Arabidopsis thaliana: one gene and its partners. The protein of the gene in region 3 purifies or fractionates together with the protein of the main gene of each other region. This does not show direct contact. Each region holds a gene or a part of one and is shown on either strand. Other genes may lie near its edges.

The links. The genes of interacting proteins can lie anywhere in the genome.
Region 1: the proteins of RPT5A (region 3) and RBCS1A purify together in Arabidopsis thaliana (affinity purification with western blotting, with the first as the bait; one study listed by BioGRID). This does not show direct contact.
Region 2: the proteins of RPT5A (region 3) and E1 ALPHA purify together in Arabidopsis thaliana (affinity purification with western blotting, with the first as the bait; one study listed by BioGRID). This does not show direct contact.

Annotation. Positions count from the first base shown.
Region 1 is NC_003070.9:25,047,640-25,051,504, forward strand, and holds RBCS1A (ribulose bisphosphate carboxylase small chain 1A), read right to left. Parts: upstream 2,029-3,865; 5' UTR 1,611-2,028; coding exon 1,440-1,610; intron 1,334-1,439; coding exon 1,199-1,333; intron 1,063-1,198; coding exon 826-1,062; 3' UTR 519-825; downstream 1-518. UniProt on the Arabidopsis thaliana protein: RuBisCO catalyzes two reactions: the carboxylation of D-ribulose 1,5-bisphosphate, the primary event in carbon dioxide fixation, as well as the oxidative fragmentation of the pentose substrate.
Region 2 is NC_003070.9:22,049,563-22,054,403, reverse strand, and holds E1 ALPHA (pyruvate dehydrogenase complex E1 alpha subunit), read right to left. Parts: upstream 3,272-4,841; 5' UTR 3,037-3,271; coding exon 2,358-3,036; intron 2,272-2,357; coding exon 2,192-2,271; intron 1,825-2,191; coding exon 1,747-1,824; intron 1,347-1,746; coding exon 1,251-1,346; intron 1,147-1,250; coding exon 1,021-1,146; intron 945-1,020; coding exon 879-944; coding exon of another isoform or gene 867-878; exon of another isoform or gene 845-866; intron 789-844; coding exon 744-788; 3' UTR 519-743; downstream 1-518. Other genes in the region: AT1G59910 (Actin-binding FH2 (formin homology 2) family protein), read left to right, coding at 1-237; SNL5 (SIN3-like 5), read right to left, coding at 3,734-3,910, 4,002-4,116, 4,205-4,365, 4,444-4,596, 4,704-4,841. UniProt on the Arabidopsis thaliana protein: The pyruvate dehydrogenase complex catalyzes the overall conversion of pyruvate to acetyl-CoA and CO(2).
Region 3 is NC_003074.8:1,601,397-1,606,765, reverse strand, and holds RPT5A (regulatory particle triple-A ATPase 5A), read right to left. Parts: upstream 3,408-5,369; 5' UTR 3,227-3,407; coding exon 3,107-3,226; intron 2,757-3,106; coding exon 2,640-2,756; intron 2,539-2,639; coding exon 2,431-2,538; intron 2,326-2,430; coding exon 2,134-2,325; intron 2,055-2,133; coding exon 1,863-2,054; intron 1,685-1,862; coding exon 1,566-1,684; intron 1,479-1,565; coding exon 1,391-1,478; intron 1,297-1,390; coding exon 1,177-1,296; intron 1,091-1,176; coding exon 950-1,090; intron 851-949; coding exon 773-850; 3' UTR 523-772; downstream 1-522. Other genes in the region: AT3G05540 (Methionine sulfoxide reductase (MSS4-like) family protein), read left to right, coding at 1-68, 159-279; CPA (Subunits of heterodimeric actin filament capping protein Capz superfamily), read right to left, coding at 5,329-5,369. UniProt on the Arabidopsis thaliana protein: The 26S proteasome is involved in the ATP-dependent degradation of ubiquitinated proteins. The regulatory (or ATPase) complex confers ATP dependency and substrate specificity to the 26S complex.

The sequences.
Region 1 (3,865 bases), on a different chromosome or scaffold from region 3:
TTTGGTATCTCCTATCTTTCAATCTTTCTGTGGTATTTGAGCATTTCGATGTTTTCGATGGTGACCAAAACCTTTTGGTAAACAATATGTATAATTCTTGAGATTAAATGGTACAAAAATTATTAAAAAGGGGTAAAAATCGTTTAAAATATTTCAAAACTTTACACTATATCAGTAACTAATTAGGAAAAAATTAAAAAAAAAAATGAAAGAAAATTTTGAGTTTTTACGACCCACACATAGCTTATCCTATTTCGAAAGTACCTAAACAAACGACTCCAAAATATCTTTATGTGAATTTGGGTCAAGTCCCTTTGATTGAGGAAATATATGATCCACAAGATCCTTGAATATACTTGGTAAAAATGAATATTCGAGACTCTTATCCAGAATCCTATCCTAAACAAGGCACGTCCACTTATGTATCCATCACTAGATTTCAAGTGGGTCATCTTTTGCTTCAAGATATTGTTACTCTAAACCTCTCAAGCTCGTTAATCATGTGACAAGAATTGAATGTGAAACTAATTTTCTTAATGATTTCTTTAGCGACTCATGGTTCTTAAACTTGTAAATTTCATATTTGTAGCCGCATTGTCCTATTTTCTTTTTGTTGATATGCATATCAAATTGAAAGACTTATAGAACATTACATATTTATTTCATCAGACAGTTGAGAATCCGATAGAATATGTCTCGCAAACCGGAAAACAAACGTTAAGTCCGGAAATTAAAACCCAAGAAAGAAGAAAAAAGCAGAAAAACAAGGGATAAAATCAAAGATGGGGGATAAAGTTTTGAGGTTTACACAAAAGCAAAGGGAAATTAACCGGTGAAGCTTGGTGGCTTGTAGGCAATGAAACTGATGCACTGGACTTGACGGGTGTTGTCGAATCCGATGATCCTAATGAAGGCATTGGGGTACTCCTTCTTGCACTCTTCCACTTCCTTCAACACTTGAGCGGAGTCGGTGCAACCGAACAAGGGAAGCTTCCACATTGTCCAGTACCGTCCATCATAGTATCCGGGTGAGTTACCGTGCTCACGGTACACAAATCCGTGCTATACAAACCACATGTTACAAACCACTCAGATAACATTTTGAACATGTTTATATAAATCAAGATCCTAATATATTAAACCAAATTTTCCTAAGATCTAGCTAGTTTATATAGATGTTTAAATTTTGTTTAATTACCTCCAACTCGAATTCAACACAAGGAATCCACTTGTTGCGGATAAGGTAGTCAACTTCCTTAGCCAATTCGGAATCGGTAAGGTCAGGAAGGTAAGAGAGAGTCTCAAACTTCTTCTTTCCAATCGGAGGCCACACCTATTTTTTCGATTTTTCCAATGATATTAGTTTATGTAGATTCGAAGAAAGAACCGAAAAAAATCATATGGAATAATAAAAAAGTGAAAGAAGAAATATAAATGACCTGCATGCAGTTAACTCTTCCGCCGTTGCTTGTGATGGAAGTAATGTCGTTGTTAGCCTTGCGGGTGGCTGGGAAGGCAGCGGAGGACTTAAGTCCGTTGAAAGGAGCGACCATAGTGGCCTGAGCCGGAGAGGCAACCATAGTAGCGGAAGAGAGCATAGAGGAAGCCATTGTTCTTCTTTACTCTTTGTGTGACTGAGGTTTGGTCTAGTGCTTTGGTCATCTATATATAATGATAACAACAATGAGAACAAGCTTTGGAGTGATCGGAGGGTCTAGGATACATGAGATTCAAGTGGACTAGGATCTACACCGTTGGATTTTGAGTGTGGATATGTGTGAGGTTAATTTTACTTGGTAACGGCCACAAAGGCCTAAGGAGAGGTGTTGAGACCCTTATCGGCTTGAACCGCTGGAATAATGCCACGTGGAAGATAATTCCATGAATCTTATCGTTATCTATGAGTGAAATTGTGTGATGGTGGAGTGGTGCTTGCTCATTTTACTTGCCTGGTGGACTTGGCCCTTTCCTTATGGGGAATTTATATTTTACTTACTATAGAGCTTTCATACCTTTTTTTTACCTTGGATTTAGTTAATATATAATGGTATGATTCATGAATAAAAATGGGAAATTTTTGAATTTGTACTGCTAAATGCATAAGATTAGGTGAAACTGTGGAATATATATTTTTTTCATTTAAAAGCAAAATTTGCCTTTTACTAGAATTATAAATATAGAAAAATATATAACATTCAAATAAAAATGAAAATAAGAACTTTCAAAAAACAGAACTATGTTTAATGTGTAAAGATTAGTCGCACATCAAGTCATCTGTTACAATATGTTACAACAAGTCATAAGCCCAACAAAGTTAGCACGTCTAAATAAACTAAAGAGTCCACGAAAATATTACAAATCATAAGCCCAACAAAGTTATTGATCAAAAAAAAAAAACGCCCAACAAAGCTAAACAAAGTCCAAAAAAAACTTCTCAAGTCTCCATCTTCCTTTATGAACATTGAAAACTATACACAAAACAAGTCAGATAAATCTCTTTCTGGGCCTGTCTTCCCAACCTCCTACATCACTTCCCTATCGGATTGAATGTTTTACTTGTACCTTTTCCGTTGCAATGATATTGATAGTATGTTTGTGAAAACTAATAGGGTTAACAATCGAAGTCATGGAATATGGATTTGGTCCAAGATTTTCCGAGAGCTTTCTAGTAGAAAGCCCATCACCAGAAATTTACTAGTAAAATAAATCACCAATTAGGTTTCTTATTATGTGCCAAATTCAATATAATTATAGAGGATATTTCAAATGAAAACGTATGAATGTTATTAGTAAATGGTCAGGTAAGACATTAAAAAAATCCTACGTCAGATATTCAACTTTAAAAATTCGATCAGTGTGGAATTGTACAAAAATTTGGGATCTACTATATATATATAATGCTTTACAACACTTGGATTTTTTTTTGGAGGCTGGAATTTTTAATCTACATATTTGTTTTGGCCATGCACCAACTCATTGTTTAGTGTAATACTTTGATTTTGTCAAATATATGTGTTCGTGTATATTTGTATAAGAATTTCTTTGACCATATACACACACACATATATATATATATATATATATTATATATCATGCACTTTTAATTGAAAAAATAATATATATATATATAGTGCATTTTTTCTAACAACCATATATGTTGCGATTGATCTGCAAAAATACTGCTAGAGTAATGAAAAATATAATCTATTGCTGAAATTATCTCAGATGTTAAGATTTTCTTAAAGTAAATTCTTTCAAATTTTAGCTAAAAGTCTTGTAATAACTAAAGAATAATACACAATCTCGACCACGGAAAAAAAACACATAATAAATTTGAATTCTGACAGTGAACTCTACTTTTGAATTCTAATTATAGAGTGAAGAATCTTGATAGATGAAAGCCATAAACATGTTTGTCGAAACTAGAAAGTACCCACATATCATAATAAGATGTTTCTAATTCCACTTTGAGACTCAGTCAAACAGTTAATATCTTGGACAATAAGAATTTGTTGACCAATAATCCTATATTACAAGAAGCCTTCTATTATTTTAATCAAAACATTGAAGCTCAAGCTCCTCGTAAGGTAAAGAGCCCACAAAATTCCGAAAACCATGGAAAACGCGAGTCCCTGGGTTTGCATTATATTTTCTATATTTGTTTTTCTTTTCTCCTAAAATTATGGAAGTGATTGGAAGATACAAGAGGTTTTGTCCAAACAATTTAAACTCGACGACTAAAAACGTAGGATGACGCGATACACACGCGCGGCCATATGCATGCAAACCCCTATATTTCTTTTTAAAGTTTTTGGCTCTTTCCACATTTTTAAAAATAAAAATATTTTTGGACATTTTTGCATGG
Region 2 (4,841 bases), on a different chromosome or scaffold from region 3:
CGTGATTTCTTAGGGATGGTTGATAATGCATGTAGTGAGATCGCAAGGAATCAACGGAAACAACAGCAACAACGACCTGCAACAACAGTAGCAGGAGCATCAAGTTCACCAGCAGAAACTCCGAGCGTTGCTGCTGCACCGCAAAGGAACGCAGTTAGATTTCCAATTCTGCCTCCAAATTTCATGTCAGAGAGTTCAAGGTACAGCAGTTCAAGTGACTCAGACTCAGAATCTTGATAACCAGAAAAGCAAAAAAATATCATTTACATTTGTTATTATGTATATACAGAATGATAGGGGAGCTTGTTGGTAAAAATATTCATTAGGTTCTTTGAAGATGGTTCTTTCAATTTTACCTGTTTTGTTGATTTTTTTTTTTCGGGTTCATGGATTGGTTACGCCAAAGTTGAATTCTTTTTTTTTTTTGGGAAAGACGAAGAATACAAACAGAAGAAACCATTCCACTGGCCTTTGTTTGTAATTCAATTTGTTATATTATTTGGAGTGCAGCACAAAATGAGATCTCAACTCGATTGCTTGAATATTAAACACGAGACTACTAAAGCTTCACAAGAATAACATTGTTTCTCCTTATGTTTGTAAACAAAGATACAGAGAGATTAAAGTTCAGAAGGGGGGGGAGAGAGAGAGTATACAATCAGATCTTTATTCATATTCATAGATTTCTCTATCAGCCAACTTTCTCATGACACGTGGCAGTTTAACGAACAAGAGCTCCATGATCATGGAAGGGAAGCTTTGACTTCTTTTCTGTCAGGTCCAAATGACTGCCAACAGAAAACAAATGGGTCAATAAGAAAGATTAACTATAGTTTCAAGGGGCGTGGTGCAATATGAATATCTAATTAGTGAAGTACCTCGGTGCCAAATCCCTTCACATACACATTGGTAAAGAGCTCAGAAGGCTCTGGCATTGGGCAATCCTGAAACGGTACAGAGATTTTCGCATAAGGGTCTCGAGTTTACGCTTTGAAAGTAGTAATGTAACTGTTGTTTTACCTTAGCTTTGGCAATGGCGTCATCTACTTCTTTTCTAATTTCCTTCTCCATATCCTTAAGCTCTTTCTCGGTTGCTAGGTCATGAGATAGTACCAGCTTCTTTATTCTCTCAATTGGATCCCGTTCCTGAGTCATATAGAGTAGCACATAAATGTTTTGACTTTTGAGATTTCATCAATAGCTGAGTCCTCGACCAAGAAATGATTTTTCAGGTAAAGAGACTAACGAACCTGCCTCACACCAGATATCTCATCTCGGGTACGGTATGTGCTCCCAGGATCAGACATGGAGTGACCGTGGTACCTGTATGTGTCCATCTCAAGAATCTGTATAGAAGAAACGATGTATTAATGCTTCTGTAATCCATATGATAGGAAAGAATAAACACAGGAAAATAAATTGGAAACCAAAGCTACTACTTATATGAACAACAGCGATATCAAAAACACACTTCTTTGATATACACTGATACAGCGTAATTTCTATTGCAACTGCACAGAAAGAACCAGCCACCCCATCAATATTCAGCTACTGGAATGCAGTGTCCAAAAAGAGGAACTGAAGGGAAGTAAATATCAACTAAAAAATGCAAAAGGAAAGATTAATACTTCACGTCCTACAGGACAGCTAGATATTGCTCATAGCAAATTTACAAAATGCGCCAGATGAGTAAGGACCAAAGGGGAAAAAAACAAAACGTCTGATAATACTAAAATACAAACTTACTATTGGCCCCTTCTCCAACGCATGCTGCTTAGCAAATTTGCAAGCTTGTTTGACAGCAAATGCATCCATACCATCTACCTGTTTATCCATACAAACCAGCAACCGGTCAAACTCAAAAGAAAGTTGCTAACTTGATGCAGGTTACAAGAAACCTAATAAGAACAAGGTAATGATGCACACCATATCTCTGTTAACAATAGAAGATTCATGACAATCATTATCCATAAGACAGTCACATTCATCTCTAAACTGAGAGGTTATAAATGAAAGCTGAGTAGTAGTAAGTTACTTAAGACTTGCATTCTACCTGTTTCTATATGGAAACTAAGAAACTTATATCATTCAGGAAATGACACTAATCCATCTACCCAATCAAAACTTCCCTTTCTCATCTTAACAAGCCTCACACATCAATCCTTGTTACAAATAAGATTCAAAAGCTGACCTTGAGTCCAGGAACATAATCACCACGCTTGTAGTAAGATGGACTCTTAGCGGCTCTCCATTCAGCAGTTCCCATTCCATCTGCACAGATCAAATTCAATCAGATACTACGACAAAACAAACCTACAAAGAAAGAAAGAAAGAAAGAAAGAAGCAAAAATGCTTACAGTGATTGTTCTCGCAGACCAAAATTGCAGGCAAATCCCAAAGAGCAGAAATATTCAAAGCTTCAAACAACTGTCCCTGATTCGCAGCACCATCACCATACAAAGCAAATGTGACAGCCTCTTCCTTGTTATACTTCTGAGCAAAAGCAATACCACAACCTAATGGAACCTGAGCACCAACAATCCCATGACCACCGTAAAACGACGATTCCTTCTTATAGAAGTGCATAGATCCACCTTTCCCTTTAGAACAACCAGCTTGTCTTCCCATAAGCTCTGAGAAAACCTCATGAAGCGAACCACCACGACCTAAGAAAATACAGTGATCACGATAAGCAGTAATAATCGCGTCTTTCTTTGTAATCGCAGCTTCCATGCCTATAGCTACAGCTTCTTGGCCGTCGTAGAGATGACAAAACCCTCGGATTAGCTTCGCTTTGTAAAGCGAATCGGCTGCGATTTCCATACGTCGCATCAACGCCATGGTTCTGAAGAAATCGAGAAGCTCTTGACTCGATGATTCGACGGAGCGTGACGGTGGATCACATAAGTGAGCTGTGAAAGGAAGCGAAGTCTCGATTGTGATCGGAGTTGTGTCCGTTGAGATTAATCGGCTGAAGGCGGCGGAGAAGGGACGAGTGATGATGTTGGATCGTGATGAGAGGCGTGATAGAGCCATTTCTCCGCCGTTGATTCGAAGATTCTCCGGCGAATCTGTTGAAAACTTCGCGTAGGAACTGAGAGGACAATTTCAGTGAAGCAGTAGATAGCGATCCTAATATAAGAGACTCTGAGAGGATAAGAAGGTTTTCCGTACACAGCCTCACGTGAGTCACGTGACACCTGTGATAAAAGAGTCAATATATATTCATATTCTCTTAAAATCATATTATATAATCAAACTCAAATGTGATTAAAGATAAATAACCAAATGGATAAACCAAAATAAATAAATAAAACATGTGATTAAAGAGATTATTAATTTGAAAGAGAATTTAACATTAGAAGGAAAATTCAATAATTGTTCAATGAATGAATTAAAAATATCCAATTTTAGCATCATCCTTAAAAAAAAAAAAGATATTCTAACACTATACAGCAAAACTGGCGGCTCCAGCTGCAGTGTAGACTGTAGAAGATAAAAACTATGGTTGTTGCCATGTGAATCTCTTTGAGCCTAAAATGATGCAAGAATCTTTGTCAAAGACAGTTATTCTCTAGTCTCTCTCTACTACTACTCATTCTTGCATATCTCATTCTCAGCAAAGAACTTCACACCTGCACAATTTATCGTGAGTTAGAGATTATTGATGATTTGCAGTATTGATCACCACAGGCAAATAAAAGACAAGAGGGTTACTTACGGCGTTCTTGAGTTAAGGCAAGGCGACAAGTCTGCGGTTAAGACTCATGTGAAAGCGCGATATTCGTTTCTTTCTCGAGAGTTCACTACTATCAGAGGTTTTAACATTTTCAGGTCCAGTTGGATTCAGTGTTGCTTTCTTCTGCTTTCTTCTATATAAAAGATCTGCTGTGTGTGGTTCATACTTGACCTAATGAAGATTGTAAACTCTCATCAATCATATATACATGTGAAAAGAGAAAAGATTATCAGTGCAAGAGATTCACAAGAAAGTATTTTACCTTGAAAGAACTGCAAGCTATCTTACATTCAACCTCATTGATAATGTTCAATCCTTCCAAGGCACGTGACATCCCTAGAGATTCTTCACCCGGACCACTTAATTTTGCCTTGTTCCTGAAAAGAGTATGCTAAGGTGATTACTAACTGTACTACCACAACTGAAGACGAAAAAAGGTTATGCTCTAATCATTGCTTCATTCACCTTTTCAGAAATAGTCCGGGTTTCTCTTCATCACTGACAAACGAAAGAAAGTCATTCTGCAGATAATTAGCAAAACCTGGTTCCACTGTTACAGCTGTAACTTCAGGCTGATCATTCCAGCTGTTCATAAGTTGAATTCCGAGACGGGTTTGGGCAGATGACTGCACAGAAATTTGCAAATACAGATTAGTATATGGGAACATATAAACAGGTATCCACACATATCAAGAGAAGCATACATATTCAATCCTGTATATGTTCTGATCATGGAGAAGGGCTCGAGCATTCTCATGGTACACTATATCAAAGAATCTTCCTGGTTTTCTGTAGTTCTCGTATGCATATAGCTGCAGAAGCTTGGTGTCTGTCTCATCAGCTGCGACTGCGTGAAGCTGAAGCATGTCCAAGCCACTTAAATGATTAGTGCGGAGCAAACAAAAATAAAGGAGAGAGAACAGAAGCAGAGTCAAGACGATAACAAGGTAAAATGGAAGCTTACATGCTTAACAAACTTTTGAACTAGCTTGTCCAATGTGAAGAGAACATATGATTGTGCTCCGATAATAGCTCGACATTCATCTTCAAACTTTGTATTGTCGCTAGAGCCATCAAGTAAATTGTAAAGGGCTTCCATGAA
Region 3 (5,369 bases):
GAGCTGTTCAAGAAACACATTGAGAGTGCCACCAAATTCTTGATGTCAAAGCTCAAAGACTTCCAATTGTAAGCTCTTCTCTTTTATCTTCTTTCTTCTATTTTTTTTTTGAAGTTAATTTTGTCTAATTGGTGAATTATTTTCAACGAATGTGACAGCTTCGTGGGAGAGAGCATGGAAGGAGAAGAAGGGAGCTTAGTGTTTGCTTACTACAGAGAAGGAGCCACTGATCCTACTTTTCTCTACTTGGCCTACGGCTTGAAAGAGATCAAGTGCTGAATACTTCAAAGCTACAGATTTTATTTTTTTATTTTGGAGTTTTACTTTTTGTTAGTACTTTTGGTTAATCTTGAGAGATTTTTCTATTTCAAGTGAAGTTAACTTTTATGCAATTTCCTTAAATTGAGAGCTTGAAAGGATTAGTGCAACGAAAAAGGCCTGATTAGTTTTAAAAATTCACTTGATATACGTTCAAAATACTATGATATATACAAAATATTAGAGATTGATAAGTGAATTCTCTTAAAAATTTCTGAAAGAAAACATAATTTTAGAATAGGTCTATATACCATGAACCAATACTATAGAGATACTAAGATTTCTAAATTTCCAAACTTGTTTTCAGAAGAAGATGAACACAATTAAATGTATTTTGATATAATAGATGATCCTGATTCGAAAACTTAAAAAGATCCAAATCGGAATGAGGGTACAAGTAAAACTAGTTGAAAGATAAACGGCATTGATAAAAATAAATGATGAGAGAGAGAGATCAGGCGTAGTAGTTCAAGCTTGCTTTCTTCTTGGCCTGGACTTGGATGATACCTTCATTGAAGTCTTCATGGTTCACCTGAACACACAAACACAACAACAGAGAACCCCACCTTAAAAAACAGACCAAACTACACAATCATAAAGCTCAAATCATTAAGAGTTCTGTCTTTTTTACCTCTGTGGCATCACGGCGAAGAGCTAACATGCCTGCCTCTACACACACTGCTTTCAGCTGAGCTCCATTGAAATCATCTGTTGATCGTGCAAGCTCCTCAAAGTTGACGTCTGGGTGGACATTCATCTTCCTTGAGTGAATCTGGATTCATTCAGTTGGGTTAGTTGTGTTATGAGAGCCTTTTACTTATCACCAAGGGTCATGTTTGAAAAATGGGAGAGACAAACCTGCAAGATTCTTGCTCTCGCTTCTTCGGTTGGGTGTGGGAACTCAATCTTTCTGTCTAATCGACCAGAACGCATGAGTGCTGGGTCCAGAATATCTGCACGGTTAGTAGCTGCAATCACCTGAAAAAATAGAAAGGTATGGTTGTTACTGTTTCTTTGAGAACGATTTTTAAGACCAGTATGATTAGTCCTTAGAATGGATAAAGACACTCACCTTAATACGTTCATCGCTACTGAATCCGTCAAGTTGATTGAGCAACTCCAACATAGTCCTCTGCACTTCCCTGTCTCCGCTGACTTCACTGTACTCTCAACCAAAGAATGTGATTTGAGCAAATAGCTGAGAAAGTGCAGAAATACATGAATTGGAATCAGAAAAAGATTTGTACCTGTCGAAACGCTTTGTACCAATGGCATCGATTTCATCTATGAAGATAATGCACGGAGCTTTCTCTTTGGCAAGTTGAAAGGCATCACGGACAAGCTTTGCTCCGTCTCCAATGAACATCTGTATATAAATTGGATATGTCATCATGTCATTACAATCAAGTATCATTATAGCTCGTCACATGTAATTATTGTTGCCAGAACACTAAAATCTTATATCCAGACAGGGTAAAGAGTTCTAAGAGATGAGAATTGAATCTGATACTCATATATATATATATATATATATATATATATACCTGGACCAATTGAGGGCCTGCCAATTTAAGGAAGGTGGCATTGGTCTGTGCTGCGCAGGCACGAGCCATTAAAGTTTTACCAGTCCCTGGGGGACCATACAAGAGCACTCCCTTTGGTGGACGAACACCCAGCTTCTCAAAACGTTCCTTGTGCGTCATGGGAAGCACAATTGCCTCTACAAGCTCTTGGATCTGTTCCAGAAATAAACTCAATTAGTTTCACTACGAAGCAAAGTCAATACAGCAGATTAACACAATGGTATAAACATACCTGCTTCTCTAGTCCTCCAATGTCATTGTAATCTTCAGTTGGTTTTTCATCGACCTCCATGGCTTTAACCCTAGAGTCATACTCGGATGGCAAGGTATCCAAAATCAAGTAGCTATCTTTGTTAACTCCAACCAAGTCACCAGGTTTCAAACTATCAGGATCCACGAGTCCAACAACTGGTAGAAAGATGGTCTGCAGTCCACATAACGAAAACAAAAGTATTTGCTCAGACATGAAACGGGAAACGGAAGAGAAGATGTAGAAAACATATCTAAAGAATGGGTTTGGAAGTCTCACCTGCCGTGTAGACGTTTTCAACACAACACATTTTCCTTTCCGTTGCGAGTCAAGATCAATATTTGCACCATCTTCCTCAGCATCATCTTCTGGATTCATCTCCAAAATCTAATAGCATGATATGGTAACACAACAGTTAGAATTCAAATCAAATAGGTAAGACTCTGTAGGAAAATACCAAAAATAAGATAAGAAAACTAGTTGAATACCTCGACAATGTTGCCAACCAAGTAAGGCAGCTGCTTGTTGAGTTTAATCTTCTCCTGATTCTCCTTAATCTTCTCCTTGTAAGAATCACATTCTAGATTTGTTCTTTGCGCGTCTTCCTAAATCCCCATCAAAGAAAAACACAAGATGAGCAATTTCAACATATCCAATTTGCAACAAGAAAGACGTAGCTTTTCAATTCAATCAATCTCAGTTGAGTTGAAAAATCCAAACTTTGAAAACACACGAAGAAATCACAAGAAGGGTCATAAAATTAAAGGTCTAGTTCATCTCCTGCTTCCACGGATTACACGAAACTCAAACCCTAAACCCGTAATCGCGAAAAATCGAAACCAGATTCGAGCCTGACCTTACTGGAATTAAAGCGATTGATGAAACCAATTTAAGAAGATACAATCATGGAGAACGATATAAAGGCAAAGGAGATCGAGAGAGATATAGGGCAAACCTTGAGAATTCGAATCTCGTTGTCGAGAAGACGAGTAGCTCTAGTGATATCTTCGGTGGACATGGAAGCAAGCTGATCCTCTTCGAAGCTTGACGTATCTTCAACCATAGGAGTTGCCATTTCAATACCCAAATCGGAGAGATAGATCGCCGGGAAGAGAAGAGCAAAGAGTTAGGGATTTCTCAAAGGGAGAGGAGAGGGAGAGCGACTATGAGAGAAAAAAAACCAATAAGGAGAGAAGACGAGAGAAAATAAATAACCAAAAAGAAAAAAGTAAATTATATTAGCTATTAAAAATAAAAAAGAGTTTTCTTAGGAAAACTTGTCTTCAAAGAAATGCATAGGGGAAAACCTCTGAACGAGTTAGAGTCTTCCACATTCTCTCGAACTAACTCAATATAAGACAATTTAAACCCCCCTGACTATAGCTTTCAGATTTACATTCCAATTATGAATGTCTAAATCTACTCTTGAAATTGCAAGAACCTTAATCACAAGAACTGCAACAGAAAGATTTCTTCCAAAAAAACAAACTTTATTAGAAATGCTGTTTTATTTATGTCTCTCATCCGAAATTTAAAAGAAAACCAAAATTCATTAAAACATCATAAACCTTTACAAATTCTTGTCATATATTCGAGCGTTAAGTAAACATATATATGCTCAAAACTCAATCATAAATGACAAGTAATGCCTCGGAATCTAAAAAAAACAATAATCAACAACAGAAAAGTAGTAGCATTAAACAAGCTTTTTTTGTAGCTAAGTCAGCATTGGTTGTGATAGTGGAGCCATCTTCATATAGCAAAACGATGACGTTCACGGGAGTTGGCGGGATGTATGCAATTTCAAGAGTAGTGATTCCCATAGGGATCACATTTATTGTGCAGTATCATTCGGCTAGATCTGAGGCGAAAAAGCAGGAGGATGAAAGTGATCACTGAAGACGTCCAAAGTCAGCAATATGCGATTATGAAATCAGGTAAAATTATATTTGTATTAGATGACTACCCACGCTACGCGTGGGTTTGTTTTAAAAATTGTTAAAAAAAAATTACATTGATTGTTCTTTATGCTAATTTATATTTATTATTTGTTTATTTTTGTATTATTAATAAAATTAGATCCATAATATGTAGTGATAATTTTTATGGTTAGATTCATTTGTGATTTGAAATATCAATTTATATATTTTGTCTATAAAGCTAATTATTTATAAGATTTTAATATTTTTTCACTAAATGAATACATATAACAACAATAATGATATTTTGATACAATTCTGTGTAACTATGTTATGTTTGTAGTTTAAAATTTTCCTAACTCGATTATAAATAAATCAATTCCTTGTTTTATGTACTTCAACAATATTGTGATAGACTCATGATTAAAGTTTGGATTGACATCAACTGAAAAAGATCTGAAGACTATTCGTACAAAAAAATAAAAAAATAGCAAAAATTGAATGTCATTGAAGTCAATACTTTTGGATATTTTGTCATTGCATATATCAATATTTAATAAATGATTGTGTCTTGGATGATTTGAAAATTGTTCAACTTGATTATAAATAAGAAGGTGGAGGAAATGGGTAATTACGTATGCTTTTGTTTATTTTTAGACGATGGAAGATACTTAGTTGTTTGTGTGTGTATCAGGAGGAAGGAGACCATCTCTGGACGTGGAAAACTCGAAGATGATTTGCAAGAAATTTGTGAGCCTCAACTATGACTAGTGCTCATGCTTGGAACTGAAACTATTTCTTTTAGTATATATCTAGTAATTGCTAGCTTATCACTCTTTAGACATTTTGCACCATCGTTTTGGGCATGGGACCAATATCTGATCAATATTCAAAAGTGGTTTTTGTAATGACTTTAACTTAAGGATTTTAATTTAATCATGATTCAGGATATATCAGCATCGTCTTAACAAATTAAAACAAAGCTTTCTAACCGAGGTGAACACAAAATTAATGGAGGTGATTGACAATTGAATTAAGAACAAGGATGGGGACAACGCATTATCATTAAAAACAAACGTGATTAGATTATCACTACAAACGTGATTAGATTACCACCCGGGGCCTAAGACTTTCACCATGGGCCTCTATTATTGGGCTTTCCTTTCAAATTGTGCTCTCTTTTTTTTTTTTTGCTTTTTTTTTATTAACAGATTATTTAAGGAAATCTTTATCATTCATATTAAAGTTTAATACATATTTAGTTCTTTAACAGTTCCAATAACATATCCGTTGTCGTCC